Linked DNA regions of Arabidopsis thaliana. The protein of the gene in region 1 interacts with the protein of each later gene in a pairwise test. Each region holds a gene or a part of one and is shown in the gene's direction. Other genes may lie near its edges. The genes, in order: AT5G67130, HOS3-1, AT4G26770 and FRK1.

Region 1 (7,348 bases):
TTCAAATGTGATGTAAACACTTTAGTAGTTTTTGAAGATATTTGCATATCAAAACTTAATCTAGTCTAGTTATAACATATATAATATACCTCGTAAGTGAAGATGTCTCCATGAGAAGATGGATTTGTATACTCTTCTAGTGACTCTGTTTCAAATTGTTCATTTGTCGATGACTGTAACCAGTTTCTCCAATACTGCTCCAACGTTTCTTCCTATACAATTTCAATGTCTATATTATAATATCCAAAAGCATTAGATATTAGATAATTACCCAACTAAGTGATATTAATGTTTTCCATGTAAAACCGAAAAATTTTAAACCAAACAAAATACATGAAAATGATTATTTTAAGTTCACTAAATATCATAGAAAATTTAAACCTTTCTTTGTTTTTTAAATGGCAATTGTTTTTTTTTAGTCTTATTTCCACAAATATTGTTTCATAAACTCTAAATATACTTGAATGCTAAGAGATTTGCATATCGAAACTTAATCTAGTCTATATATTTATTATATACCTCGTAAATGAAGGTGCCTCCATGAGAAGATGCATTTGTATACTCTTCTTGTGATCCTGTTTCAGATTGTTCATTGGTCGATGACTGTAACCAGTTTCTCCAGTAACGCTCCAACGTTTCTTCCTATATAATTTCAATGTCTAGATTATATCTAAAAGCTTTATACCTTTTAAAGAAAAATATTAGATAATAGATAATTAATTACTCAATTAAGTGACATTCAATGTTTTCCCACGCAAAAACAGAAAATTTAAAACCAAACAAGATACGAGGGAAATGATTACGTAAAATCACGGAATGTCAAAACAAATCAAAATCCTTTTTTTTTTTCTTTCAAATGTCAATAATATTGGATCTTATTTCCTCCAATATTGATTCATAAACTCTTGAAATATATTTGAAATGCTAAGAGATTTGCATATCAAAAGTTAATCTAGTCTAGATTTATACTATACCTCGTTAGTGAAGGTGTTTCCATGAGAAGATACATCTGTATACTCTACTACTGATGTTGTTTCAGATTGTTCATCGTTCCATGATTGTAACGAGTCCTGCTCGAACGTTGTTTCCTAAACAATTTTCATGTCTATATTATATCCAAATAAATTATTTCTCTTAAAAAAAACATTAGATAATAGATAATTACCCAACTAATTGTCCTCAGAAGGGAACCGGGCTCTATTGCCGGACCATCACCGTTCACATCAAGCGTTGGATCTGGTGAGATGTCATCAGCATCAACTGGTGAGTAAGTGTCCCATAGATCCCAGTCGTCTCCAAATAGTAGCCACATGAAGCTAAAAGGACTATCCGGTATCTCAGAATTGTCTTCGTTTGGATCCATACTTTTGGAGAAACATATTACCTGACTCAAAATTTTTTTTCAAGGGGCTAGATTAAGCTGAATTTATATAGATAATTAACACTTTCAAGTATCATCACCATTTAACTCTTCCATTCAAATGCAAATACTTGAGTGGACAGGATAGTCTTAATATTGATAAAGTAATAGAAAAAATAAAGACGTTATGAACAAAGAAAAACCACTAAATATATTGTAGCTCAGTTAAAGGAAAAATATATATACCAAATTAAGGCTTAAACGATAAATAATGCATATAACCCACTTTTCAGTGCCTCCATGGATAAAAGGATTTAGCAACTTTAAGGAAAAAAGGTTTATACCAAAAAAAAGTTCAAGGAGAAAAAGACCACTGATTTACAATTGTTGGGTAGTTTGAAGTCCCAAAATGTTAAAAATTCAATTAAAAAAATTGTGACAGCTAATAAAAATGGAACTTTAGCTGGATTCGGAAGATTTATTTTATTGAAAATAAGGATTCTGTTTTAATTATAGCTCTAATACAGTTGAATTGGTTTTTTATAGAAAAACATTTCTTTATTGAATTTTCTTCAATGGAAAAATATCATTTTAGAGTGAATAAGTACAAAAAATAATAAATGTTGCTTTCAACAAAAAAAGGAAGGAAATTTTATGTTTTGGCTTTGTATATTTGCTTTCAACGTCATTAAAACGCTTTTTAAACCGGAGATATGCATCTTGTTTTCCTCATTTACAAGTTCACAAGATGATTAATTACATTACTTGGGTCATGGGCTTAAAAAGAGAGAGTTTGGGTCCAACTAAAAAGGCTCAGTAAAATACGTAAATGGGCCTAGCGTTATAGCGAGAGGCAGAGAGAGAATTTACACGACGACGACGTCATACTCAATGGACGTAAATGTCCAAACTACAAAAGTTTTTTTTTTTTTTTGTGTATTAAAAAAAAAATCTCAAGTTAAAAACACATCAAGAGTATATTACAGCAACTTGTGTGTTAAATCACCAATTGTGAATAAATCGGTTATGGAAATCAATCATTTTTTTTTTTGGTTTAATGGAAATTAATCATTTGATCGTTAAGAGTGTCACTAATTCGATACGTCACTTGCTGACGAATCTGCAGATGAAATAGGCATGGTATGATAAATCTCGTTAAGAATAAAATTTCACCTAGATGTTTGAGTAATTTTTGTAAGATGATGAAAATTGTAACATTTTTCATTGAAAGAAGCAAAGAGACAAGCAACAAGACAAGAGTGTCCCCACGCATGTGAGCACCGTTAACCATAATAGAAAAAAGATATCTTCATCTAATAATAGGTGAAAAAATCTTATAACTGAGCAAATTTTAGAGAATGAAAATAGTGATCTGTGAAATAATTTTTTTTTTTTTTATGATAGACCTCACCTAACAACTAGAAGAAATAATATAAAACCATTATTACTTATATTGATAAACTCTTACAAGATCACTGTTTCCATAAATCTTGACAAAAATGTCACTCCATATGTTTGGTGTACAAGACTAGAAACTGTAGTTTTGAGTTATGTTATTATAATGTTAAACTGTATTATGCTCAAAATTGAACTCCTTTTGAAAGGTGGTTTATCTTCTTTACTAATCGTTTCTTCATTTTCTCTCTAGGAGCTAGGTGGGAAAAAGATTCAACCTTGTCTTAGAAAAAGAAAACCAAAGCTAATCTTTTTCTTTTGTACCTCTCTTTCAAGGATTAACAAAACAAATCGATGAAGCCCGGGTTTTAGTACCTAAACATCTCTTTGTCTCGTCTTTGAAAACCCCCCCAAGTAGATCCAACATCATTCATATCTCTCTCTCTATCTCTGCATAAGCTACGGAGCGATGTCGGCGTGCATCAATGGCTTATGCAGAGCCGTGACTGTCTCTCTTCTTCTTCTTCTTCTTTCTTTCTCTTTTTCCTCAGCTTGCTCCAATGGAAATTGCCAGGTTCTTGATTCTCTTTGCTTATTATTCTCTGGTTTATGGCTATCAAATTTGGGTCTAAATCTTTAGGGATTTTGCATTTTTGTGTCTCTTTCAGCTGCTGGATTCATGCTCCTCGGCTACTGATTGTGTCTCTGGTTTATACTGTGGAGACTGTCCTGCCGTTGGAAGAAGTAAACCCGTCTGCACAAGAGGCCAAGCCACAAGTCCAACTTCCATTGTGAGATTTAGTTCCTATAATTAGTTGGATTTCTCTAGAGTTTCCAATTTTTGAAGATGCGTTGTTTCAAAAGATAGTCTAGATCACTTGGTCTATCAAAAGTTTTGAACTTTGAAGATGGGTTTTGCTGAAGATTTCATTTGGTTGCATTAAAAGATAGTCTAGATCATTTGGTTGTATCAAAAGTTTTGAACTTTGAAGATGTGGTGATGAAATTTGTGTGTGTGTTTTTTGTAGATCAATGGATTGCCTTTTAACAAGTATACATGGTTGATGACTCATAATGCCTTTAGCAATGCAAATGCACCACTTTTGCCAGGTGTTGAGAGGATTACATTTTACAATCAAGAAGATACTATTACTAATCAGCTACAAGTAATGCTCTTATTACCAACTCTCTTATTATAGTTTCCTCTTTTTTTGGATAAAACTCTTGAATGTATATTTTTGTTCTAGAATGGAGTTAGAGGGCTAATGCTGGATATGTATGACTTCAACAATGATATCTGGCTTTGCCATTCGCTTCGAGGGCAATGTTTCAACTTCACCGCTTTTGTAAGTTTTATCTTCAGCTTAACCTTGCTGGATCGAAAGCTTGAAACCTGATTGGATTGGTAAATGTGAACTTTGTTTTCTTTTTGAATCAGCAACCTGCAATTAACATACTGAGGGAAGTTGAGGCATTTCTGAGTCAAAACCCAACAGAGATTGTTACCATCATAATAGAGGATTATGTGCACAGACCTAAAGGCTTATCAACACTGTTTGCCAACGCTGGTTTGGACAAATACTGGTTCCCTGTTTCGAAAATGCCTAGAAAGGGAGAAGATTGGCCTACTGTGACTGACATGGTGCAAGAGAATCATAGGCTCCTGGTTTTCACTTCTGTTGCTGCCAAAGAAGATGAAGAAGGCGTTGCGTATCAGTGGAGATACATGGTTGAAAATGAATGTGCGTATTACACACAGTTTATATCTTTAATGAAAATTGTCTCTGAGAATAACCTTCTCTTGCCATTTTCTTATGATTGTCTAAAGCTGGGGATCCCGGAGTGAAGCGAGGTTCTTGTCCTAACAGAAAAGAGTCTCAACCTTTAAATTCAAAAAGTTCTTCGCTATTCTTGATGAATTACTTCCCGACATATCCGGTTGAGAAAGACGCTTGCAAGGAGCACTCAGCTCCACTTGCTGAGATGGTTGGGACTTGTCTCAAGTCAGGAGGGAATAGAATGCCAAACTTTCTTGCTGTTAACTTCTACATGGTACTGAATCAATCATATAACTATAATATGACTGTTTTTACGAGATCTAGCTAACAAACCATAATATTGCAGAGAAGTGATGGAGGCGGCGTTTTCGAAATTCTGGATAGAATGAATGGACCGGTACTTTGCGGTTGTGAAACTCTTTCTGCTTGCCAGGTATTAACTTATTAACTCGCGCCAAAGTTACTTATGGGTATGAAATAAGATCTTACAAGCCTAAATTATCTAAAACCGGCACCCGTATTTTGGTTCTTGATGTTGCAGCCAGGAGCAGCTTATGGTTCATGCAAAAATGTTACTGTACAGACAAGAACTCCAAGCATGGATTCAACGGCTGGAAGCAACTCAGGTGGAAGCTACTCAGGTTCAGTTCAGTTCTCAAGATCTTTAGCTTCTGTGGCCCAACTAAACAACATTGTTGTCTTCTGCTTCTCATTGCTTCCGTTGCTGATATTTCTACTATGACACAACCAATCAAACCACGTGGAGAGATTCTTAGGTTAGAGAATCTTGATCACTTCTTTAGAACGAATGAGAGAGCCTAAGTTGACATGAATTGCCTTAGAAAGAGTTTCTGATTTGATTCTTGTATTGTAGACTGCAGAGCTATAGGCAGAAATCTTGTGTATGTGTGTCTTCAGCTTCTGTTGATTGTTATGCAACTTATATATATATATATATAGACACAATTCTACTCCAATAGAAACTTTACTGAATATTTATATATATATGTTGTTGATTGATGAGAGAACACATAAGATATATGCAGATTCAATTGTATGAATTACTATGTACACAACAAACAAGAAATATGATGAGCAACACTAGACAGCATGCAGCAACGGTGGTGGATTCTGAGCATTGAGAAGCAATTCCATGGGTTTGATCTGAAGAGCAGGACTGATGGTAAGTAAAGCAATGAAGCAATCTACAGGAACTCTAGTTCCCCATAAGTTGATGGATTCGAGTTTTCTGCATTTGTTTACAAGAACAAGAAGGCCTCTCTCTGTCACATGACGGCAACACCACATTCCGATTGTCTGCATAAAGGATTCCAATTTCGAAAGCGTGATTCTCATGAATCTAGAGAGAATTATTTGGTTAGATGATTGTTGTTACCTTAAGCTGATGGCAGCGTTCTGCAATTGCGAAAAGAGACTCATCGGTTATAAATGTTCCTCCTATGTTTAGGTGTTGCAGTGAGGAAGTTCTTGAAATCTGTCAAATCAAAATCAAGATTCTCTGAAATGATTAAAACAAAAAAGGAATCTTCAAGATTCCAGTGCACAAAAAACGGTGTTAGATTTTACCAGTTGAACAACACCAGAATCAGTAATGGCGGTCATGCCCCATAAAGAGACAGAGTTTAAATTGGATACACATCTTGCAGAAGCTATTTGGTAAAGACCATTATCAGTTATATGACAACCCCATCTGCTTCGAGATCTTCAAATATGAAAGAAGAAAAAAACAGAGTTTATAGTTCTGTTCTGTTTTTTGACCAAGTCAATATCCTATCTCAAACACCCTAAAGGTAAAGTTGGAAACTTGACCAAAAAATTCAGCAAATCTCCACTATCCCACCAATCTTGTTTACTCTTAATCCGCCATTGAAGGACAAATCAAGTACGATCATAGTACAAGAAACAAACAAAGAGCAAAACAGAGAGAAAGAGAGAGAGATTACATGTCGAGTTCTTTGAGGTTGAAAGCAAGATGAACGAGACGAGAAGTGGAATCATCGTCCATTTTCCAACCAGCAAAGCTCAGAGTTTCTCTTCTCGCCATCGATTGATTTACAGCTTTTCTCCATTTCTTGCAAACACCACTTGCCCTAAAAACCCCAAAATTCACCAAAAACTTCAATCTCACAACAATGATTTATTTAATCAAAAAAAGAGAGGATCAAACTTGTAAGGATCATCAATGAAAACACTTACTGGGCCAAAACGGTGAAAGAAGTAGCCAACGAAAATATATATGCAAGAAGGTCTAATGGTAAACGATCAATCGCTGCTTCTTCATCCATGACTTGTATGATTTTAGAGCTTCTTAAATCAATATTTGTAGAAGATTTTTATGTATTAAGAATTGTTTGTATATATCATTAGTTCTTCATAATTGCAGAGGAAGCAGATGTTGTCTTTTTCATGGTTTAACTGCAGAAGATGTGGTCATAGTTCCGTCATATTTTTTAATCGTTATAACAAAAAATTTGAAATTAATTTATATGATTTAATAAATGTTTTTATTACACGGTCCAAGATTTTGCGTAGAAGAATACCTCTAGGACTCCGTCTTTTTTCTTCTGTACGCCACGTGGCACATGCCACGGCCTACGGTGCGTAATAAAAGATCTTTCTTATTCACTCAAAAATACATTATTTTTTGTGTTGCTTGCTTCACAAAATATTTAAATGTTAGTGAACTAACACATACTTTAATTGTTAAATTTGACATGACGTTATCTGTAATTTTCTTTTCTCATCTTACGTTTGTACTTTTCGTGTTCAATGTGTTTATGCAAGAAGAAGTTAT
Region 2 (6,307 bases), on another chromosome or scaffold:
TACAACCAAGATAACATGTATTTGGATTTAAACGTAAATATCAGGTTTATCATTTTAATTCTACGTGTTTATAAATTATAGAGAAAATTATATTTTAATTCTACGTGTTTATCATTAATTTTATTATTTATTTTTTCAACATGTTTATCCGGTGATGCTATTTTGAAAAACAAATTTGTAGATAAAACAGAAAATGTGGCGACACGTCCGTGTGTTTAAATTTACTGAATTACCTAACCAGACACAGTAGTTACATCCACATTACATCACATTTGTTATCTCTTTATTAGGTGTGCAAAGGATAAAAACGAAAAATGTGGCAACACGTCATTGTTTCAAATATTTACTAAGTTTTCCTTATATAGACATTATTACATCTCAAAAAATCATCTCTTCAACATTACCATTTACTACTAGATGCAAGAGATAATAACAAGATAAAACAGAAAATGTGGCGACACGTTTTTGCCTTTCTTTTTAATTCTGTTGTGTAATTTACTCATAGTCAAATAAGTTATCAAGATATTATATCTTTTTAAAATTTAATCGGACGGTTATTGAGGCATCGAAAGCTATCACCAACATAAATCTATCCACGTGGACGGTAGTCACCTATCAATATTCACGAAAAGGCAGCGTTTATTGAATTTCTCGTGATATATCTGCTGACGTGTATAAGGCCCCACAAGATTTATGTTAAACGTAAAATTAAAACTGTAACAGAGAACTTTGGTTACCTATATAAAGCTCGCTCTTGCTGTTTCATTTTTTCAAGTAGTAACTGAAATCGAATTCATTTTCTTCTCTTCCTTTCTGGGATTTCGATTTTTCGTATTTTTTTTTTGTTCTGTTCGTCATGGTGATGATGAAGAAGCTTTTGTCGAACCGTTTGTTCAATATGTCAAAAACGGCGTCGCAAAGTCTCATGAACTGTCGTACTTCGTCTTCTTCTTCGTTAGCCATGCGAACTAGGGTTCCTAAAGATATAGGAGAAGCCACGATTGATCCAGAGCCTGGAGATTTGACGATTTCTCAGAGGTTTTTGAATAAATTCTCCATGAATGGGATTGATACGACTTCGAAGATGTCTATTGGGGAGAGTCTGATGGAGAAGCTTAAAGAAATGGATATGAACAAGGATCGGATTCGATTAGACGGACTTTCTCATCCGAAGGAGGAGACGTTAGGGCTTACTGTGCAAGACGTGAAGAAGTTGCTAAGAGCAGCAGAGATCGAAGTTATTAAAACGAAGCTGATGGAGACAGGAAAAATCTGGATTCGTTACTCAGATTTCTTAGGTGTTTGTAGTGATTCTTCTTTGGATCCTTCTCAAGGAGCTTTGATCGCTAAGATGCTTGATGATTCAGGAAACGTTATCGTTATGGGAAACTCTGTTTGTTTAAGACCTCATCAGGTAACTTCTTCCTCCTCTTTGCTTTTTTTTACCATTTGAATTCTTTTTTGTCTATGCAATTCTCTGATAAGGTCTTGTGTGTTGATCAGTTAACCAAATCCATAGAGGGGCTTCTTCCTTTATCACAAATCCATAACCCGAATGACCCAAGAAGAAAGGAGCTAAATGAGCTTGAAGCTATAAAGACGGTCATTGACCAAAAAGCACATTCTTTGGTGAGAAGAGAGCTTTGGGCTGGTTTGGGTTACTTGATCATCCAAACCGCAGGGTTTATGAGGCTAACGTTTTGGGACCTGACATGGGATGTTATGGAACCGATCTGTTTCTATGTCTCATCGGTATATTTCATGGCGGGTTACACATTTTTCCTCAAGACATCGAGAGAGCCTTCCTTTCAAGGTTTTTACCAAAGCAGGTTTGAGGCTAAACAAAGGAAACTGATGCAATCTGAGGATTTTGATGTTGGGAGGTATGATGAGCTGAAAAAGCTGTTTAATCCCAAGCCTTCAGGTGCTGTTCCCAAGATTCTTGGATCTCTACAGAATTGATCATTGGTGTCTCGTTGTCCTACTAACCTGAGAAAGATATATTGACCCCCAAAATTGTGTCAAACTATAATTTTTGAATATTTCATAATCTTTCTAGGAAAATAGGAAAAAGACAAAAAAAAAAAAAAAAAGTTCTATTAGTGCGGCTTATGTAATTTGGAAGAGTAGATAAAAGAATCGATTGTGATGTAGATTTATAAATTTCAAGTCTGACTTTCTGAATGTTAAATGTTACAATACTTCCATGCATATGCATATGAGATATCATTACTTTAAACATGTTATCTATACCAAAAACTCAACAAAACCTTGTCATTTGAGGCCTAAATCTTAGTTGAAGCCAATTCCGAAATTAGTTTTAGTTTTAACTTAAATGATTTTTAGTTTATAAATTAAACAAGTATAACATATGCTTAATGATTGTTTCGGCGGGCTTACATAAATGATTGATAGAACATGTTATGCGTGGGAGTAGTCGTTGTAAGTTCACCGTCCAAGTCTCCTTTTAATTAATTCACGAGAAATCAACTACGACCGTGTAAATAAAATACTTAGTTTGGTAGGTCAAGAATCACTTCTGGAAAATGAGACTAAAGAAAAGAGTCACTTGTGGAAAATACTATCAAGTGGACAAAACCAAATTCCTCATAGTGAAAAAGAGATATATTACACTGTTCCTGCCGCATTTGTTTGGTACGTATCTAATATTTTTGTTTACTCACGTGGTACTATAACGCTTATTGCCAATATAACGATTAGGACAATTTGATTTCTACTAATTTTATTTGATACGTATCAAATATCTTCTGTCTTAGCTGGTCATCAAATTGTGTGAAATAGTAATTTAATACTAACTCGTTACTGATTACTGATGTAGATTCATCTTCGTAACGATCGCCCGATCCATATTCCAATATTTGCATTTTGTTTTACGTAATGCACTCTTTCTCATCTGTAGCTCCTTGAGTAAAACTTAAAACTTAACCATGAAGGCATCTGTAAATTGACGCTTGTCTGAATTTCTCAACACCAAACTCTCTTTCGTGTCTAGAGGTTCTTTGGTTTTCCCACCTGCTTTTCGATTATGGTAATGGTCAACTTGACGCGTACCAAGTTTTCTGATCTTTTTGAAGATATTTCAAATATGGTTTGCTATTTCGATTTTCGACAATAACAGTAAAACCCCATTAAGACCATAAATCTTAAAAATTTTCATAACCGTTTTACAATATTCATTTATGTAGCCAAATTAAATTTGTCACGTAAATGTGACAATTAATATTGGTCCACATCATTTTGCTTTCATGACAAGACCGGCCATTTAGTGACCTACTGTATGTTCTACAACAATTATTGGAAAATGGAAATTAAATATCCCAACAAAAAAAATAAGAGCAGAAACAGAGATTCACTTTGCGAAAAAGTCGCACGCACACATATAAAAGACAGGACTAGAGGAACAGAGGAAGAAGAAGAGTCACTGTGATCACCACCACCGTACGATCAAATTCAAACTATGTCAACGGCTCTGATTAACTCTATTACCTACTTCCTCTCCGAACATCCATACATCGTCGGATTCCGTTGGAGTAACAGCCAATCATGGGGCTCCACGTGGTCTTTCCTCTTCACATCAATCTCCCTCTATATCGCCGTCTCATCCTCCCTCCACATCCTCCTCTCCGCCGTACGCCGAAGTAACCGTTCCGTTCCTTTAGGTCACATCCCCGAAATCCACAGCCTTCTCATGTCGATCCTCTCCGCCACCATTTTCGCCGGAATCCTCCTCTCCGCTGCCGCAGAGATCCGTGACACACGGTGGTTATGGCGGCGGAGCAAAACCGCCACTCCTCTCCAATGGCTTCTCTGTTTCCCTCTCGGGACTCGTCCCTCTGGTCGTGTCTTCTTTTGGTCATACGTGTTTTACCTCACGCGCTTTCTCCACATGTTCCGTACGATTTTCGCCGTTTTACGTAGCCGGAGGCTCGCCGTGTCTCAGCTCTTTTGTAACTCCGTCATGGCCTTCACGTCTTTCCTCTGGCTAGAATTCTCGCAGTCGTACCAGATTCTAGCGATTCTATCGACGACTCTGGTTTACTCGGTGGTTTACGGTTATAGATTCTGGACCGGGTTTGGTTTACCCGGTTCGGCTTTCCCTTCGTTTGTGGTGAATTGTCAGTTGGTTCTCGTGGGCTGTAATCTCGTGTCTCACGCTGGGGTTCTTACGATGCACCTCTTTAAAGGTGGATGCAATGGGATTGGCGCGTGGGGTTTAAACTCGGTTCTCAACGGTGCGATTTTGTTGCTTTTTCTTAACTTTTATGTGAGAATGCATTCGCCAATGCGACGCCATATTAATAAAATGAATAGCCAACGTAACGCTTAAGAATTAATTGATCCTTTTTACTAGTTTTTACTTTTTACTCAATAAAACAAATCTAATCTTCTTTTTTGTCTTTCACTTTTAAAACTGAAGTATAATCTAATTTGTTTTCTAATAACTAAAATGTTCTGCGTCTAGGTCTGTACATCTTCTCAAACCGGGACAATTTTTTTTTTATAAACCATCGATCTCTGACTTTGCATGAGATATTTTACATTTGAACTATTGGCTCTTAGTTAACGCAATCTAGTTCTTGTTTTTCATTCTTTTAAATCTAGTTTTGTGTTTTTTAAGTGGAAAGAAATTATGTCGATTATTTATAAATATATCTTTAAAAATATTTATTTATTTCATAAGAGGTTTTTGATCCAAAGACTCAAACTTGGGGTAACTTTATGACGTAGATATACCACAATACCCACCAAAATGTGGTGATAGAGGAAACAAAGGTTTACATGGTGGATCATGGACGAGGATGATCAAAAGCTTATACTCTTTACCAAGTGAAAATGCATTTTGGATAAGAGGAAAAATTATTAAAAGCGAGAAAACATAATATGGTTTGAGACTGATGTGTTAGATTGTAAGAGCTGCAATTGTATCTCTCTACTTGGGGACACACTTTTGATTTTCTATTTACCGTTTGAATGCCGTATAAGGAAATGTACAGGTCAAACGAATATGGTCGAGTGTTCGCCTTAGACCATTGTATAAGGAAATGAACTATGTCGACTATATTTAATATTTGGGCCTAGTATAATATTACTACACTTAATCAAAGTTAAGGCATTTATAACTGTAGAACAAGATGGGCCTAAGGCCACGGTTTTCTACTTAACTAGGCACACATATGACATATCCCATAGTAAAAAAGCTTACATAATAAGGCCCACATCTGAAATCTGATTCTCCACTGTAAAAATAAAATCCTCTTAAGCTCTCGATCGATGGTTCTGCAATCTCACAAACCAGAAACAAAGAGTCCAGGCTCTTGCAACCAACCGCGGAACTTGTTGAAAGGCGACGAGGAGAGAGAATTTCAAATCTCTCCAGATCAAAGTGAAACACAAGTACAACAAGTAACCGACAAAGTGAAGCGCAAGTACTTGTTTCTTTCCTTTTCCTTTAATATTTGTTAATTTGAGAAAAGTAAAAACCATAAAATATATATAGTTTCTGTCCGAATCGGCCTATCTTCACAAAATCTCGATTCCAATCAAGAATTTATGGCAAGAAAGGTCGATCAATCAATCAGATGATTATGGATCTAGAGATCTCTAAATTTGTGTTGTTGTGAATTGAGAATGCGAGAGCATTCGACGATGTACAATTACGCCCCCGAAGTGCCACCGCAAAGTAAAAGGAAGAAGACGATGAATGAGGCGTCTCCGTCGTGGTCTGGATTACCGGATTCTGTGGCTGTGAGTTGCATGGCTCGCGTCTCGAGATTGGACCAAACAGCCTTATCTCTCGCTCCAAGAAATACCGCTCTCTCGTAACATCCCCTGAGCTCTGCAGCACGCGATCGCTGATTGGTTGCACTGAGCCATCTTTCTTCGTCTGCTTGCGCATCTTACCTGATCCAACCCCTCGCTGGTTCGTCCTTACGGGTAGTCGTCGACTGAGGCCGGTCCCATCGCACCCCTATCAGGCTCCGGAATCATCTTCTTTTGTGGTAGTGAATTGGGGGATCTATGTTATGTAATCGGTGGAATCATAAACGGCAATCCCACTTCCGATGTCTTGTTCCTCAACTGTTTTTCTCAGACATGGCACCGCGTCCCGTCTATGAAGATGGCTCGTGCTTCCGCATCGGCAAGCCTCATAGACGGGAAGATCTACGTTTTTGGAGGGTGCCCAGAGGACGCTGATTCCTCAAACTGGGCGGAGGTATTCGATCCAGTTTACCAAACTTGGGGTATATTTAATACGCCGAAGATGGCCCATAGTATCAACCAAAGT
Region 3 (7,226 bases), on another chromosome or scaffold:
GTTCTGATCCTGTTTTTCCAGAACAAAAACCCAAAAGAATCATCAATTGAACTCTATGCTTAATAAGTAATGTGTTTATTAACATAGCCAATGTTAGCATACTCGATTGTAATCTTCGAGCCAGCTCTCTTCCTCACAAGCTGACATCCATTTCTCTACACGGTCTAAAATTTCTTTTCTACTAAAGGCTTCCTCCTTGGCCTTTGCGATCTGGCTATCCATGTCAGCCAGTAACTCAGTAGGTTCAGTATTCCCAGCATCAATCAACGACATGATCCTCTCACGAACAACCTCTGGTTTTATTTCTATGTGAGCACGAGCATATATCTCCTCAAGCTCTGATTGCTTTTTGAATGCAATTTCCTTCATTCTGCTAGATTTCAGTTGATCAAGCCTATCCACTTCCACCTCAGCCTTCAAGAGTTCACAGAAGATTTTTAAAAGCAGTACTTATCATACACATTGATTGATACATTACAAATTTACGATACCTGTTCGATAAGATCAAGTGCGAGAGCACCAGAGGCAGTCACTTCATGAACTGAAGCTGAAATGTTAGAGGTAACATGGTCAAAAAGCTCCCTTTCCTCATCAGAAGTATCCATCAGATTCCATAGATCAGTTAGCTGAGTAGCTAGTTCTTGAAGCTGCATAAAACCAAGATACATTAATGAAATCCACAAACAAGAATGGTGCAGAGAAAAGTTACAAACTTTCAGCGCAATTAATCAGAAAGGATTTCAACATATGTGCAGCCTAAACTGACCAAGCTCATGTCAGAGATCACAAAGACCATGATTTTGACTAACCTTCTTAAGTCTTTGCATTTTATCTTCTTTAAGAGTCAAGACAGTCTTAGCCAACCTTGCAAGTGTTTCATTGCTAATGCTCTTGGTTTGAACACCATTTGCCTCATCTAAGCTCGGATGAACTTCGGTGACAGTGCTTAAGAAATCTAAACGAAGGACGGCACATAGATCATGCACCGTGCTCACAAACTCGAGCACCTTCTGTAACCTATCACTCTGCTCAAACACAAAGCAGTTTTAGTTCTGGTTTGAACATAGGCCACACATAACCATATCCCAACTAATATTTTACCTTCTCTTTCTGGAGCTCTTGGAGTTTCCTCTGGAAGTCATCTAATCTCTTTAGAGACAAGTCAGTCTCATCAACCACATGAGGTCCATTGTTCAATCCGCCAGCGATCTCCTCACATATCTTCTGAATCTGTGATTGTACATCAGAAAATGCCCGGACCCTTTCCTCTTTCTGTTGCCAAAGTTGTTCAAGCGCAGGTGCTATTGCAGAAAGTTGTTCTTTGATCGTTCCTGAAGTCTTATCAGGCTGCAATGGAAACAAAGACATTGAATCACACTACACTGTAACCATCTCATCTCTTTACCACTTGTAAGACGTGAGATTACTTACAATGTCGATATAGCTTTTTTCCCCGAGAGCAGTTGTGAGATTGGAAAGTTCAACAGTGGCATCTGACAAAGTCTGAAGAAGCTCTGCACGAGATTTTGCGGCTAGCTCAACTTTCTTTTTGTAAACATTCAGACACTCTTCCTCAATCTGTAGAAGCAGTTTGTCTCGTTCTTCATCACTCTCCCCAACCTCATCCCAGATTTCCTGTAACAAGTTTGTACATTGAGTTTGTGGAACCATATATTAAAAGGATAAGTGTGTATGTTGCGAAATCTACCTGCAACTTCTGTAGTAAGGTGCCACAAGTGATTTCACCAAGAAGAGGATTTTCTGCTTCTGTCACTGCCATTCTTGTGAAGTCAAAAGGTTTCCTACAAAAGTAGAAACAACGAACATATTTAGTGAAGATCCAAACTAACTATACACTAAAAGAAACCAAAGTTGCAATCTTTTTTAGAAAACCAAATTGAATCAGAAACAACATTTTGAACTTGGGAACAAAAACACATCAAAGAACTTAGTGAAGCTAAGAATGTGAAACTAAGCTCAAGAAAAGCTCGAAAGGAACTTCAAAGAAATCAAACAGCATTGGTGATAAAACCAAAGCCAAAGCAAGAAATCAACATTGAAGAAGTAAAGAGGCAATGAGCTGAAATGAAACTAATCGAATCCAACAAGTAGAAGATGGCTTTCTTACCTTAATCGATATTGAATCCAAATGGTTTATCTTCCTCTCTTTTAGATCTGAAGCGACGAATAGTCACTGTGAGAGTAAGAGAGAGAGAGAGCATAGGAAACAGAGAAATCTCCAACTTTGGTTATGGAGGTTGGGAAATGGGAAAAGTGGGACCCATTTTACGGAACTCAATAATTAATGAGGAAAAAACAACAGCAAAAAGGTGAGAGACCCTGTCTTTTCGCGTTATTTACTGATTTGACCACTGATCTCACAGACCTCGTTGACTCCTCATGCTCATGTCTGAATAGTTAAAAGGCTTTCCTTAATGGGCTTAAATATCTGACCCAGCCCAAACAGATCAAGACAACACGTGTCACTCATTCCGGGTTTAAACATGAAGCAGCGACATGAATAGTTTATTGGTTCTCTCTTCCGATGATTTGATGAAACCTCACCGCTAAGTGCTCATCCACCACCTTCCTCCTCCTCCTTCTTCCCTCACCTTTTGAGTTTCTTTCTTCACGTTTCTTTTCATTAATTAGGGTTTCGCATTTTCAATCACCATCATCCCACCACGTTTTCGTTAATGTAAGTTCATTCTCTTTTTTCTACTTGTCATGATCCCATTTTGTTGCAATGTTCACTTATGAAATTTATCCTTTGTATGTGAATCATCACGTTTTGCTTTGATGAATCATTTAGATTTCTAGGCTTACACATTCAAATCTAAATCCTCTATTATATGCTTGTTACACAAGTAATCTCTCATCAGATATCAATGTGTGTGTTTCATTAAGACGTGTATAAGCTCGAGTTATGGTTGACATTTTGAAATTATAGATCAACCCCAAATTCATTTCCTCGGATGTATAAAGAAACCCAGATCATCATGATTAACTGAATTTCAAGAACTCAATCCAGGAACTGAGAGCATTTCCTAGGGATCTCAATGGCAATGGAGAAAGATCTCAGTCCAAATTCTCCACGGATTAGAAAGCTAAGGGATACTAGTTACCCTACTACACCAACGTCTCGAATGAATACTAATAACCAGAGAGATAACCATTATCCCAACATTCCTAATTCACCAAGGGATTACAATTATACTCCTAGCTCTCCAACAGCTCGCATTCGACACCGCAGGCGATCAAGCGAGGTATCTATACAATGTCATACTCTCTTTTCCGGTTGAATCCAAAATTTGATTGTCTTTTTCAATATTGATCAGAATTTAGCTGAGGTGAACAGAAGCAATGTAAGCAGAGTAAGCAATTTGTTACTTGGTGATAAGAACAAGTACAGATCAATGTGGATAAGGACATGCTCATCTCTCTGGATGCTCGGTGGAGTTGTGTTTATAATCTACATGGGTCATCTCTACATTTGGGCTATGGTTGTGGTTATACAGATATTCATGGCCAAAGAGCTCTTCTTTCTTCGCAGAAGAGCTCATGAAGAACGTCGCTTACCCGGTTTCTGGCTCTTGAATTGGCACTTCTTCTTCACGGCTATGTTGTTTGTCTATGGACGCATCATTCAACAGCAGCTAGTCAACACGGTTTCTTCAGATAGATTCATATACAAGCTTGTGAGTGGTCTTATCAAGTACCAGATGGTTATTTGCTACTTCTTGTACATCGCAGGTTTGTCTGTTTCTTTTTTCTTCACAAAAACAATACTCTCTTTCTTGATTTATTAACAGCTTAAGTTGGATTCAGGTCTCATATGGTTTATCCTTACATTGAAGAATAAGATGTATAAGTATCAGTTTGGGCAATACGCTTGGACACATATGATCCTTATCGTTGTCTTTACTCAATCTTCTTTCACCGTCGCCAATATTTTTGAAGGGATCTTCTGGTACAATGGACTCTTATATATATCCACTGAAGCATAATAGTTTTCCCGAGTGCTAATTTCTTTTAAATATGCAGGTTTCTTCTACCAGCAGCACTGATTGCTATGAACGATGTAGCAGCTTACTTCTTCGGTTTCTATTTCGGGAAAACTCCGCTCATCAAGTTGTCTCCAAAGAAAACATGGGAAGGTTTCATCGGAGCATCAGTTGCAACTATAATCTCTGCATTTATTGTAATAACCTTCTTCTATCATTTATTCATTCGTTCGTAACTCTTTCTTTTGGTCTCAAGACTGATAGATTATTATCTGCTTCGTACAACAGTTTGCTAATGTCTTAGGCCAGTTCCAATGGCTTACATGTCCAAGGAAGGTAACAAAAAGTGATATCTCCATCACAATATTTTGTCTCGGCCTTTACTTCATCCTTGTGTTGCATATCTTTTGCAGGATTTATCAACTGGTTGGCTTCATTGTGATCCAGGCCCTCTCTTCAGGCCAGAGTATTACCCATTTCCCTCTTGGATTACTCCATTTGTAAGCAATTAACTGTCCTCTCGTGAAAACCAGCCGATGATGTTGTCTTGTTTTGAAACTGAGCTCCGTTGTGAACTTTGCTTAACAGTCTCCATGGAAAGGGATCTCGACCCTGCCTGTCCAATGGCATGCTTTTTCTCTCGGTCTATTCGCATCCATTATGGCGCCTTTTGGTGGCTTCTTCGCAAGCGGTTTCAAAAGAGCTTTCAAGATCAAGGTTAACACATTTTTCAAACATTAAAAGGTTTTGTATCTACAGATCCAAGAACAAATATTTACTAGTTTATGTCGCTTTGACAGGATTTCGGAGACAGCATACCAGGACATGGAGGATTTACTGACAGAATGGATTGCCAAGTAAGAGTCACTAACGTCGAAAAGTGCAATATGATCTTTGCATCGTTTTAAACGAATCTTGTTGCCTAAATGCAGATGGTTATGGCGGTTTTCGCATACATCTACATCCAATCTTTCATTGTTAATCGGGACTACAGTGTCGAGATGATCCTAGACCAGGTAAGAATCATCATATAAGCCAAGAATACGGAGGCATTGTAAATAATTGATTGTATTATACCTGCAGATATCGAGGAGCCTGGGACACGAGGAGCAGAAAATGCTTTATGAAAAGCTCGGAGACATTCTTCAACATAAGTTGCAAGGGAGGTTTTAAATAGTGAGTGCAAGTTTTGTGACTCTGTTTTCAGCTTCTTTCTCTATGGTTAGTTTCTGGTTGTATCAGACCATGTAAAACCTTGATTTGTATCTGATTTAACTAATCAAACAGAGACTTGGTAATAGTGTGCGAGTAGAAGAGATGTAAAATGATATTTTCCTCGTTCAATTATAGCATGGAGATAGAGAAAACAGACACAGAAGCAGGATTTCCCCTGCAAATGCCATGTCCAGCAACTTATGGGAGATCTTGTTCATCTAATGAATAACCAAACCACAAAAGAAAACTATGACTCGAAGACTCGAGAAGATGTTAATGGAAACATAGAACCGTAACAAAATTTATGAAAACCAGCTGACTTCTTCTTAAGCATCAGACTCTTTCTTTTCTTCTTGGTTCTCTCCTCCCTGGGTAACACCAACCTCAGCTGGTCTTATAACTCGGTCATACAGCGTGTATCCAGACTGCACATATTGACACCCATCATTACTAATTGGTATTTAAGACTATACAATATGAAATAAAGAGACAAAGAATTGAGCAAGCTTTATATATTTACCTTCAAGACATGAGCAACTGTGCCTTCTGGCTTAGAAGCATCAGGGACTTGGAACACTGCGTTATGTCTGTTTGGATCAAATGGCTCGTTTATAGGATCATACTTCTCCATACCAAATTTCTTAAATACCTGCAGCGGCACACATGTTTAACCGGTCTCATCTGCATTGCTTACTTAAGGTCTTATAATTACATTTCTCGATATTTACCTCAGCAAGCTGTTTCTCAGTCATCTCCACTCCTTCTAAAAGGGTCTTTAATAGTGGAGCTGCTCCAGCAGAATCTTCTGAGGTGTCAAGCTTTGAGAAGCTTTCTTTGACAACCGAAGAAGCTCTTCCAAGATTATCCGCCACATCCAATAGGCTCTTTGCAAAATTCTGCATACATATATAGTGAATATATATATTTCAGAAAACTATTATATGAAACAAAAGCTGCAAACCAAGTTCTTAAAGACTAACCTGTACGGCATACTTTTTGGTGTTTTCAGCATCACGTCTTGTTCTGTCCATGACATTCTCCATCTCAGCATAAGTGCGAAGAACTTTGTCTTTCAACTGCTTAATCTCTTCTTCCTTCTCAGACAGTAGCTCTTCCTTCTCAGCTACGAGCTTCACCAAATCATCGGCTGACAATTCATCATCATCACTCTCAGAATCTGATTCAGAAGATGAAGATGCAGCTCCTTTAGCACCTTTCCGCTTTCTTTTTGCAGAATCTGTCACAGAATCTTTAGATTCAGAGTCAAGACCTGGTTGGTTTGCCTCAGCTGTAGGTTTCTCTTCACTTGTCTTTGAGGCCTCAGTGTGGGTCTTCTTCTCATCTGATTCAGGCGAGGTAGAGGAAGAAAAATTGAACCTTTGCAGTGCAAACGAATCCATCATAGACATCTGAGCTGGAACAAGCTGCCCCCAAAAAAAAAAGTAAAATGGGTTAAACTCAGTGAAATGATACAGAGCAAAAACCTATAGAGAATCTAAACCATTCTTCTATTGTTTATTCATATATCTGAAGATTCAAACATAAGAGATCAAGGAAACAGTATCAGAAGATAGCAATCATTTCTAGAAACTCAAATGAGGGAAAGCCTTAAACCCTAACAAAACCCTGAATTGCAATTTCGGCATGAATAGTGATTAATTTGAGTGAAAATCGAACCTTATGCGAGAAATCGTGAGCTAGGGAGTGAAACCGGCTCGAGAAAACAGGAGTCTGATTCCTCGCCGGAAGAGTGACGGCGGATAGAGATGAGCGTATGCCCGCGTTGCGGGTTACTCGCGACAAAATTCTCAAAACCAACATCTGGAGATCCACCACAGATGAACAAACAGAGATCAAGAAGATAAGAGAATCGAATCGAATCGAAATGTAATTGTTCTGAGGAAATTGTTAATTTGCAGAGGCACACAGAGTGCTTGGTGGATGGATAGTAGAATTCACAATTCTCTCTTTCGGGGTTTTTAGTAATTTACGTAAATAGCCTTACCG
Region 4 (8,380 bases), on another chromosome or scaffold:
GACATAACTAATACGTTGATGAATTTCAAGAATACTTGGATTATATAGATTAACCCTGACTCCCTTAGATAGAGATCGAAATCGGGTGGTGATTTCTGAGACCATACAAGTTCTGATCAGATTACTACTAAGTAAATCTTAATTATTAGACTGTTTTTAATGGATTTTTCTGCTCTAATGATAACGTAATGAGATTTTTTTTTTTTTTTTGTATGTTTGGCTTGCAGACCCGGGTAATGAGAAGTTTGGTAAGAGCAAAAGGCACTAATCTCACGTAAGAAAACACTTTTTTCATCAACCATGTATATAATCATGTCGGTTTACATAAACCGTATCGTCTATTCAAGAATTTAGTTTTGTATAATTATAATATTTTTTTCAGACTACTTTTCAATTAAGCATCTTTTTCTTGGATTTTTTTTTCACAAAGGGAGAGCTTTAACTTTTTGCATTAACTTATATATTTTAAATTATACATGCATGCATACCGACTTATATAAATCATATGGTCAATATGAGACTTTTGATTTATATTATTTGTCAACTAAGCATCTTTTCAGATGAGGTTCATGCACCTTTGTTAGAATTATCGGACCAGAAGATCACATCAACGTTTACCAAATCAACAAAAAAATCCAATCCGTCCAAAAAATTTGGAAACTGTTTGAAAGATTCGAAATGTTGGAGCAAGGATACTCAGTTCCAATCTCTGAGCAGAATCTGATATGACTCATCTACTCATAAGACTTTGCGAGATAGACCGGTACAAAACCGTTTCCAAGGGTTCATAATATATGGATTAATGTGAGTTATTGTGGACGTTGTGGTTGTAGAAGCCGCGGTAGTCGTGGAAACACTAATTAGTTATCTCCTGTAAGCTATTTTTATTTTTTTTCCTCACTTCCTCTTCCTCGCAGCTATGTATAATTTTGGTTGGTTATCTCCAAAACTTTTTATGGTCAAACAATTTTGAGAAAGTAATTTGGAAAGAAAAAAGGTTTAAGAATATCTTTTTATCGTCAAGTCCTCCTCCAAATTACTTCCTTAAAACTGTTTGACCATAAAAAGTCATAGCAAGGTATTAGTTATTCTAATTTAAATTAAACGCCTTTTTATCAACAACAAAAAAAAGAAGAAGATTTGATATGTTGAAAAGTATTAGGGACGCTTATTAGGGCAGTATTCCTAGTTATTGCATTTTCTTTCGGTCATTCGACCTTAGGATCATACCTCAATCTGTATGACTGTATTCGCCATGTGAATTCCAATATTACATAGTGACCAAATTTGATATCCAACTAAAAGTCGATCTTTGATCTAAACGAAATGACAACTATTTGGTTAGTGATTGCAGGTTGGAAAGATTTACCTTCTAGACCTGTCTTACGAAGCTAGTATTCTAAAGTAATCTTCATAAACCGAATTCAGAAACAAAAAAAGAAAAGGAGTCCAAAATTGTATGATCATACATTAATATCAGAATAGTCTCTTTTGTTAAATAAATATCTGAAGAATATATATCTCTTTGATTATTTTGTGGATGGCAATGAAACTAAGAATATATATTCATTGACTTAGAAGTCGACAAAAAAAAATAAAAAAATTATTGACTTAATTACTAGTTGACCAATATATATATTATTAAAAGAACATATTGTATCGTTGAAAGCGGATCATCGGGTTTTAAAAGAAAAACACATCGTTGAAACTTGAAAGTGATGACTAATAAAAAGATCTAAACGTGTCCGGTCACCTACCAATGTGGTTTTGCAAATTATTGTCAAGTACCTTGACTATATTAAATAAAAAAATTCACCGTAACACATTGATATTCAACTGATTCCTAAAAAAATATACAAACTATTGGGAGTTGTGAGATTTTTTATATCAGTGTTGGTCTCTTTACATTTGTGATGTGGTGTTATAGCATATATAGTAATAAACTCAAAAGGAAATTAGATGTGTTTTGACCATTTATTAAAATGAACCTTTTCTTGTCAAACATTTGAAAAATACTAGTTTTTTTTTTTGGCAACGTTGTAAATAATAGTTAAAAATAGATTTTAAGTCTCGTTTTTTTATGCATATAGTTTCATTCGCTTTATTAGACTCAAATATACTTTTAATTAAATTTTGCAGAGAATTAAAGGTAATCATTTGCCAAGGAAAAACCATGCAAATATGCAATAAGTAGAAATAATGTTAATGAGAGTAAGCGTTGACATATATTACGTCCTGGTCCGAACATTCTTAAAGTTGCGTAACACTAATAACCTTAGAAGATGGTTGGTTGACTATCAACATCTTATTGACCAAATGTTTTTTTTTTTTTAATTATAAAACAGTTGCTCATTGCTCTAGCCCAGAGAAAGCAGCTCAATTAAGTAAATGGCGATGTTAAAATCTCTTTCATCGATTTTATTCACAAGCTTTGCTCTTCTGTTCTTTCTTGTTCATGCTCAAGATCAATCTGGTAATTTAAAACAGTCTTGGCTTTGTTTAATATTCAGATGCTAAAATACGTTTTTACATCAAGTGCATCGTTTAGTTAAGAATTTGCATACAATTTTCCCAGAAAACTACTCTCCCTTAGTATTTATCTTGAAGCAAACCAAGCTTCCATACATCAATCGTATCTTCTTTTCTCTCATTCTCTGAGTGTTACAGGTTTCATAAGTATAGATTGCGGGATACCGGATGATTCTAGCTACAACGATGAGACTACAGGTATAAAGTATGTTTCGGATTCGGCGTTTGTTGATTCAGGAACAACAAAGAGAATTGCAGCTCAGTTTCAATCAAGTGGTTTTGATAGACACTTGTTGAACGTGAGAAGTTTCCCTCAAAGCAAGAGAAGCTGTTACGATGTTCCGACGCCGAGAGGCAAAGGTTTTAAGTATCTAATCAGAACTCGTTTCATGTACGGGAACTATGATGATCTTGGAAGAGTACCCGAGTTCGATCTCTATCTAGGAGTAAACTTTTGGGACTCTGTTAAACTCGACGATGCAACAACTATACTCAACAAAGAGATAATCACCATTCCACTTTTAGACAATGTTCAAGTGTGTGTTGTTGATAAGAACGCAGGAACTCCATTTTTGTCTGTCTTGGAGATACGGCTCTTGTTGAACACTACTTATGAGACTCCTTACGATGCACTTACCCTCCTTCGGAGATTAGATTACAGCAAAACGGGAAAACTTCCATCGAGGTGAGCCTTAACAAGAAACTTTGATTATTTTACAAGGAAACTTTTTTGTTTTTGCAGTTTCTCATACACATTTGTGTAGGTACAAAGATGACATATATGACCGTATATGGACACCGCGTATAGTGAGTTCAGAATACAAGATATTAAATACATCTCTCACTGTCGATCAATTTCTTAACAATGGCTACCAACCGGCTTCTACTGTCATGAGCACTGCAGAAACAGCGCGAAACGAGAGCCTCTACCTAACGCTTAGTTTCAGACCGCCCGACCCTAACGCAAAGTTTTATGTATACATGCACTTTGCTGAAATTGAAGTACTGAAAAGCAACCAGACGAGAGAATTCAGCATCTGGCTAAATGAGGATGTAATCTCTCCTTCGTTTAAGCTTCGGTACTTGCTTACCGACACATTCGTTACACCGGATCCCGTGAGCGGAATTACCATTAACTTCTCTCTTCTTCAACCACCTGGTGAATTTGTACTTCCACCGATCATTAACGCCCTTGAGGTCTATCAAGTCAATGAGTTCCTTCAGATCCCAACTCATCCACAGGATGGTAATTAAGGCTTTTTTTATATGGTACAAACTTCCTCCGAAGTTTTTTTCGGTTATGTCTGATTTCGTTTATATGCTCTTATAGTTGATGCCATGAGGAAGATTAAAGCCACGTATAGAGTGAAGAAGAACTGGCAAGGAGATCCTTGTGTTCCCGTAGATTATTCTTGGGAAGGTATTGACTGTATCCAAAGTGATAACACTACTAATCCTAGAGTCGTTTCACTGTAAGTTAGTGTTTAAATTTATAGATATCTGTTCTGTTTTACTCTGCTTTGTTCTGTTGTGCTCTGTTTTGCTCTGTTTTTGTTTTGTCCTAAACATCTCTATTTGGCAGAAATATATCTTTTAGTGAATTAAGAGGCCAGATAGATCCAGCCTTCTCCAACCTTACATCTATAAGAAAATTGTCGGTATTTTTTTTCATGTAATAATCACTGACACTCTGTGATACACAGAGTTCCTTACTAACACAATCATTTTTCATTACAGAGATTTATCCGGTAATACTTTAACAGGAGAAATACCTGCTTTCCTCGCTAACTTACCAAACTTGACCGAATTGTGAGTCATATCAACTAGAGCAAATATTTCACTTGATCAGTGAAGCAAAAGATATCTTTGAATTTACGAGTTGATGTGGATTCGTATATGCAGAAACGTTGAAGGAAACAAGTTAACGGGCATAGTTCCACAAAGATTGCATGAAAGATCAAAGAATGGATCTCTTTCCTTAAGGTTTGCGACTCGTAAAAGCTACCTTTTATTAATTTTAGTTTAGTTCTTCCTCTTTGAATGTGATTTAGAACCGATAATTCCGCAATGCGCTTTGACAAGATTCATTCCTAACATGTCTACATTGTAACTTTATAGATTTGGTAGAAATCCGGACCTTTGTCTCTCTGATTCCTGTTCAAACACAAAGAAGAAGAACAAGAATGGATACATCATTCCATTAGTAGTCGTAGGAATCATCGTCGTTCTTTTGACGGCTTTAGCTTTGTTCCGGCGTTTCAAGAAAAAACAACAAAGAGGTATGATACTAAAAACAAATTTCTGCCAATAAAGAAAGTAACTAAACGAGGTTCTTATAGGTACACTTGGTGAGAGGAATGGGCCGTTGAAAACTGCAAAGCGATACTTTAAGTACTCAGAAGTTGTGAATATCACAAATAACTTTGAGAGAGTTATTGGCAAAGGAGGTTTTGGTAAAGTATACCATGGTGTCATAAATGGAGAACAAGTTGCTGTCAAGGTACTCTCTGAAGAATCAGCTCAAGGCTACAAAGAGTTTCGAGCAGAGGTTTTTTTTGCGTACCTTTCAAGGACTTAATCTTAATTTATCTCAAACTTTTTCACCTAACTAATCTAGTTGAGAATCGCAGGTTGACCTTCTCATGAGAGTTCATCACACGAACCTGACTTCTCTTGTTGGATATTGCAACGAAATAAACCACATGGTGCTTATCTATGAGTATATGGCTAATGAGAACTTAGGAGACTATTTGGCAGGTTAATTAATGATTCTTCTTTTGTTCACTAATCTTATGTTCATAATGTACTGAGAAAGGAACTTTGGTTTTGTTTCATTTTGTGAAGGTAAAAGGTCATTTATCTTGAGCTGGGAAGAGAGGTTGAAGATATCATTAGATGCAGCGCAAGGTTCGGGAAGTCCCATCTTGAAATTACATTTAACTAAATCTAACATGCGAAAATCAATCAATGAAGTGTGTGTTTTCTTGTCTATAAAACAAATTCAGGACTAGAGTATCTTCACAATGGTTGTAAGCCTCCTATAGTTCACAGAGATGTGAAGCCAACAAACATCTTACTAAACGAGAAGCTCCAAGCGAAGATGGCGGACTTCGGGTTATCTAGAAGCTTCTCTGTTGAAGGAAGCGGTCAGATTTCAACAGTTGTCGCTGGATCCATCGGTTACCTTGACCCCGAGTAAGTAATAAAAACCTTCTTAATTACTATTTCTCCAAACTAAAGAATACAAATGTTTCATCTAGGGTGACACATATTATTGAAACTACAGGTACTATTCGACTCGCCAAATGAACGAAAAGAGTGATGTTTATAGTCTTGGGGTTGTTCTTCTTGAAGTGATTACAGGCCAACCTGCTATTGCAAGCTCAAAAACAGAGAAGGTGCATATAAGTGATCATGTCAGGTCAATATTAGCCAACGGAGACATTAGAGGAATCGTGGATCAGCGTCTAAGAGAGAGATATGACGTTGGCTCGGCTTGGAAAATGTCAGAGATCGCTCTTGCTTGTACCGAGCACACTTCTGCGCAGAGGCCAACGATGAGTCAGGTCGTTATGGAGCTGAAACAGATTGTTTATGGCATAGTGACTGATCAGGAAAACTACGATGACTCGACGAAAATGCTTACAGTGAATCTAGACACCGAGATGGTTCCTCGAGCAAGGTAGTGAATTTCTTCAGAGTAGAAAAAGAAGAATAAATTTGTATTCAATTTGCTTTTGTGTCTCAATAAATACATTAATCTTACTTGCAAATGGTTGCTGAATAATATGTATGCCAAGACATTATTTATATGCACTTAGGTCAAGTGTCAAAGGGAAGAATTGTCATTATAAATGAAATTGTCAAGTTACCCGAGCATCACCATAAACTCTGGCAAGTGGAAGAAGCCCCCAAGCTAATTATATTAAGTCAATTATAAAACATAGTAAACAAGGTGTATAAAGTCACCCAAAGATCATATAACTCCCATGGTTTTCAACTGTATGTACAAACTGCTTGAGTTTCGATCGTCATCTGTTTTTTCCAATCCTGTCCTGTACATCCAAGGTATTTGTCAGGAACACATTTCATTGCTACTTCAAATCTATAATCAACTTGTAAAAAAATTTCTTTACATTGTCATTACCTGCTCTCTCGTGCTGGAAAAGGTATCGAATCACTCTTCACCATCTTCAGGTTTAAAAGAGTAAATAGGATCTGGATAATGTGCTAGCTTCACTTCCAACATCTCATTCCCCGGGATTTTCAACTCCACGCTAGCTTCTTCCTCTTGTGTAGATGAGGAACCATCTTAACATTTTCATAGACATACACAAACATATCACCACAGATATCAGCAAATAACCCTAACAACGACTCAACCATATCTTTCGAAAACGAGACACAAACATCAAAACAAATCAGCTCTAGTATTGCTCTAAATGTTCATGTAGATAATAATGTTCAAATATTCTCTTCCCTAAGTAACCCAACAAAATCTCAACTTTGTCTCATGAATTGGGTTTAACATTGAGGAAAATCTCAAAAGGAATCTTTTTTAACAAGCAGAACCAAAAAACAAGTAAGACCCATCAGAGCAATTACCTGGAGGAGGAATGAAGAAAGAGGAACAAGGCCAACCATAAGGAGACGAAAGCGAAAGAGACTCTTCCTCCGTCAACGGATTAGTCACCTTATCGACCAAATTGGCGATCTTTGTAGCCGTAATCTGATGAGGAGGTACCCAAAAGGAAGAGCCAGGTGCAAAAGGAAGCCAATCTGGAGTCGAATTATGAACGATGATCCTTCGTACGAATTCGTTTAGCTTTTTGAGAATTGCTGCTTCCGCTTCGTTTTTAGAATCGATTTCAAGCTCGATGACTTGTGGGATGGATGAAAAGCGGCGGCTGAAACAGACGACGTTTGGTGGTGTCGTAATCGCCGGCTCGTTGAAACGACGGAGGAGGAATCTTCCGTTGGGAATTAGGGTTTTTGAGAGCAATCGAGACATTTTTAGGAGAGAGAGTCAAGAAAGAGAAAGTTTGAGATTTTTTTTACATTTATAAACGATGACAGAGTTCGTGAAACTGAAACGGGTACAAATTGGGATCCGAATCCCTGAGATCCGATCCAATTATAGAAAATTAATAGAAAAACAAATAACCTTTTTTTCTTGGTCAATTTTTTTTTTTCTTTGGTCAATTTTTTTTCTTTTTTGATGGTAAATTTATTTCTTTTTTGATGGTAAATTTATTGATAAGAAAAAAGTATATTTGAAAAATTGAAATAACTTAAAACATGAAATTAGCATCATATCCGCAAGACTAACCATTTGACAGGATAAGACAAAGTTTTGGTGAATCTTGTACATGTTAGAACTCATTCAGTTGTGGATTTTCTAAATAAAACAGCAAGTCCAATTTCTAAATTTTAAAATTAACTTCAATCAATTATTAATGTTTGAGCAAACCCAAATATATATATATATAAAAAAGGAAAAAAAATCTAACAAAAGACGAGTGGATTGGGCTTGAAATGGGCACCGATTGATCTAATCCGGTGGCCCTAAAGTATAAGTGATGAATAGTATTCTTGGTAGATGCAAATTGCAGGATTCGCTGACCCAATAATATTTGCTGTCTTATTTTCCAAATGTATATGGAACTATGCTCATGTCATGTGTGTACGTAAATGCACGTGAATATGGAGATTGTGAGTCCACATGTCATAAAGTGTCGTTTATATTATGCACGTGAATTTGGAGTTTATAGTTGCAAGTCATATCATATGCTATGACAGAGATATGGATATGGTTAAGCTAAAATGCCCCACCGTTACCATTACTAAGTGG

Evidence for each region.
Region 2: the proteins of AT5G67130 (region 1) and HOS3-1 interact in a protein complementation assay, tested with the Arabidopsis thaliana proteins (one large-scale study listed by BioGRID).
Region 3: the proteins of AT5G67130 (region 1) and AT4G26770 interact in a protein complementation assay, tested with the Arabidopsis thaliana proteins (one large-scale study listed by BioGRID).
Region 4: the proteins of AT5G67130 (region 1) and FRK1 interact in a protein complementation assay, tested with the Arabidopsis thaliana proteins (one large-scale study listed by BioGRID).

Annotation. Positions count from the first base shown.
Region 1 is NC_003076.8:26,788,375-26,795,722, forward strand, and holds AT5G67130 (PLC-like phosphodiesterases superfamily protein), read left to right. Parts: upstream 1-2,924; 5' UTR 2,925-3,224; coding exon 3,225-3,329; intron 3,330-3,423; coding exon 3,424-3,546; intron 3,547-3,783; coding exon 3,784-3,921; intron 3,922-4,002; coding exon 4,003-4,101; intron 4,102-4,193; coding exon 4,194-4,497; intron 4,498-4,583; coding exon 4,584-4,807; intron 4,808-4,879; coding exon 4,880-4,966; intron 4,967-5,074; coding exon 5,075-5,275; 3' UTR 5,276-5,508; downstream 5,509-7,348. Other genes in the region: AT5G67120 (RING/U-box superfamily protein), read right to left, coding at 90-212, 520-642, 975-1,088, 1,166-1,363; AT5G67140 (F-box/RNI-like superfamily protein), read right to left, coding at 5,635-5,850, 5,930-6,028, 6,121-6,256, 6,498-6,644, 6,751-6,839.
Region 2 is NC_003075.7:17,346,033-17,352,339, forward strand, and holds HOS3-1 (GNS1/SUR4 membrane protein family), read left to right. Parts: upstream 1-3,185; 5' UTR 3,186-3,478; coding exon 3,479-4,253; coding exon of another isoform or gene 4,254-4,348; exon of another isoform or gene 4,349-4,595; intron 4,596-4,749; coding exon 4,750-4,901; 3' UTR 4,902-5,131; downstream 5,132-6,307. Other genes in the region: AT4G36820 (calcium uniporter (DUF607)), read left to right, coding at 857-1,414, 1,504-1,962; AT4G36840 (Galactose oxidase/kelch repeat superfamily protein), read left to right, coding at 6,134-6,307. UniProt on the Arabidopsis thaliana protein: Probable very long-chain fatty acid (VLCFA) elongase that controls VLCFA composition and functions to inhibit abscisic acid (ABA)-mediated stress responses, including regulation of stomatal aperture, maintenance of primary root growth and inhibition of germination.
Region 3 is NC_003075.7:13,479,521-13,486,746, forward strand, and holds AT4G26770 (Phosphatidate cytidylyltransferase family protein), read left to right. Parts: upstream 1-2,543; 5' UTR 2,544-2,698; intron 2,699-3,031; 5' UTR 3,032-3,059; coding exon 3,060-3,266; intron 3,267-3,338; coding exon 3,339-3,753; intron 3,754-3,828; coding exon 3,829-3,970; intron 3,971-4,044; coding exon 4,045-4,201; intron 4,202-4,292; coding exon 4,293-4,340; intron 4,341-4,417; coding exon 4,418-4,504; intron 4,505-4,592; coding exon 4,593-4,721; intron 4,722-4,804; coding exon 4,805-4,861; intron 4,862-4,936; coding exon 4,937-5,020; intron 5,021-5,087; coding exon 5,088-5,177; 3' UTR 5,178-5,423; downstream 5,424-7,226. Other genes in the region: MAP65-2 (microtubule-associated protein 65-2), read right to left, coding at 1-9, 103-414, 492-647, 810-1,025, 1,102-1,347, 1,432-1,635, 1,709-1,780; AR192 (Co-chaperone GrpE family protein), read right to left, coding at 5,546-5,644, 5,740-5,868, 5,948-6,115, 6,200-6,643, 6,897-7,040. UniProt on the Arabidopsis thaliana protein: May be involved in the synthesis of minor phospholipids and in modulation of IP3-mediated signal transduction.
Region 4 is NC_003071.7:8,323,902-8,332,281, reverse strand, and holds FRK1 (FLG22-induced receptor-like kinase 1), read left to right. Parts: upstream 1-2,337; 5' UTR 2,338-2,388; coding exon 2,389-2,473; intron 2,474-2,667; coding exon 2,668-3,214; intron 3,215-3,293; coding exon 3,294-3,775; intron 3,776-3,859; coding exon 3,860-4,001; intron 4,002-4,111; coding exon 4,112-4,183; intron 4,184-4,266; coding exon 4,267-4,338; intron 4,339-4,431; coding exon 4,432-4,512; intron 4,513-4,647; coding exon 4,648-4,808; intron 4,809-4,868; coding exon 4,869-5,077; intron 5,078-5,159; coding exon 5,160-5,286; intron 5,287-5,373; coding exon 5,374-5,436; intron 5,437-5,534; coding exon 5,535-5,724; intron 5,725-5,815; coding exon 5,816-6,215; 3' UTR 6,216-6,233; downstream 6,234-8,380. Other genes in the region: AT2G19180 (uncharacterized protein), read right to left, coding at 6,707-6,840, 7,135-7,540. UniProt on the Arabidopsis thaliana protein: Involved in innate immune response of plants.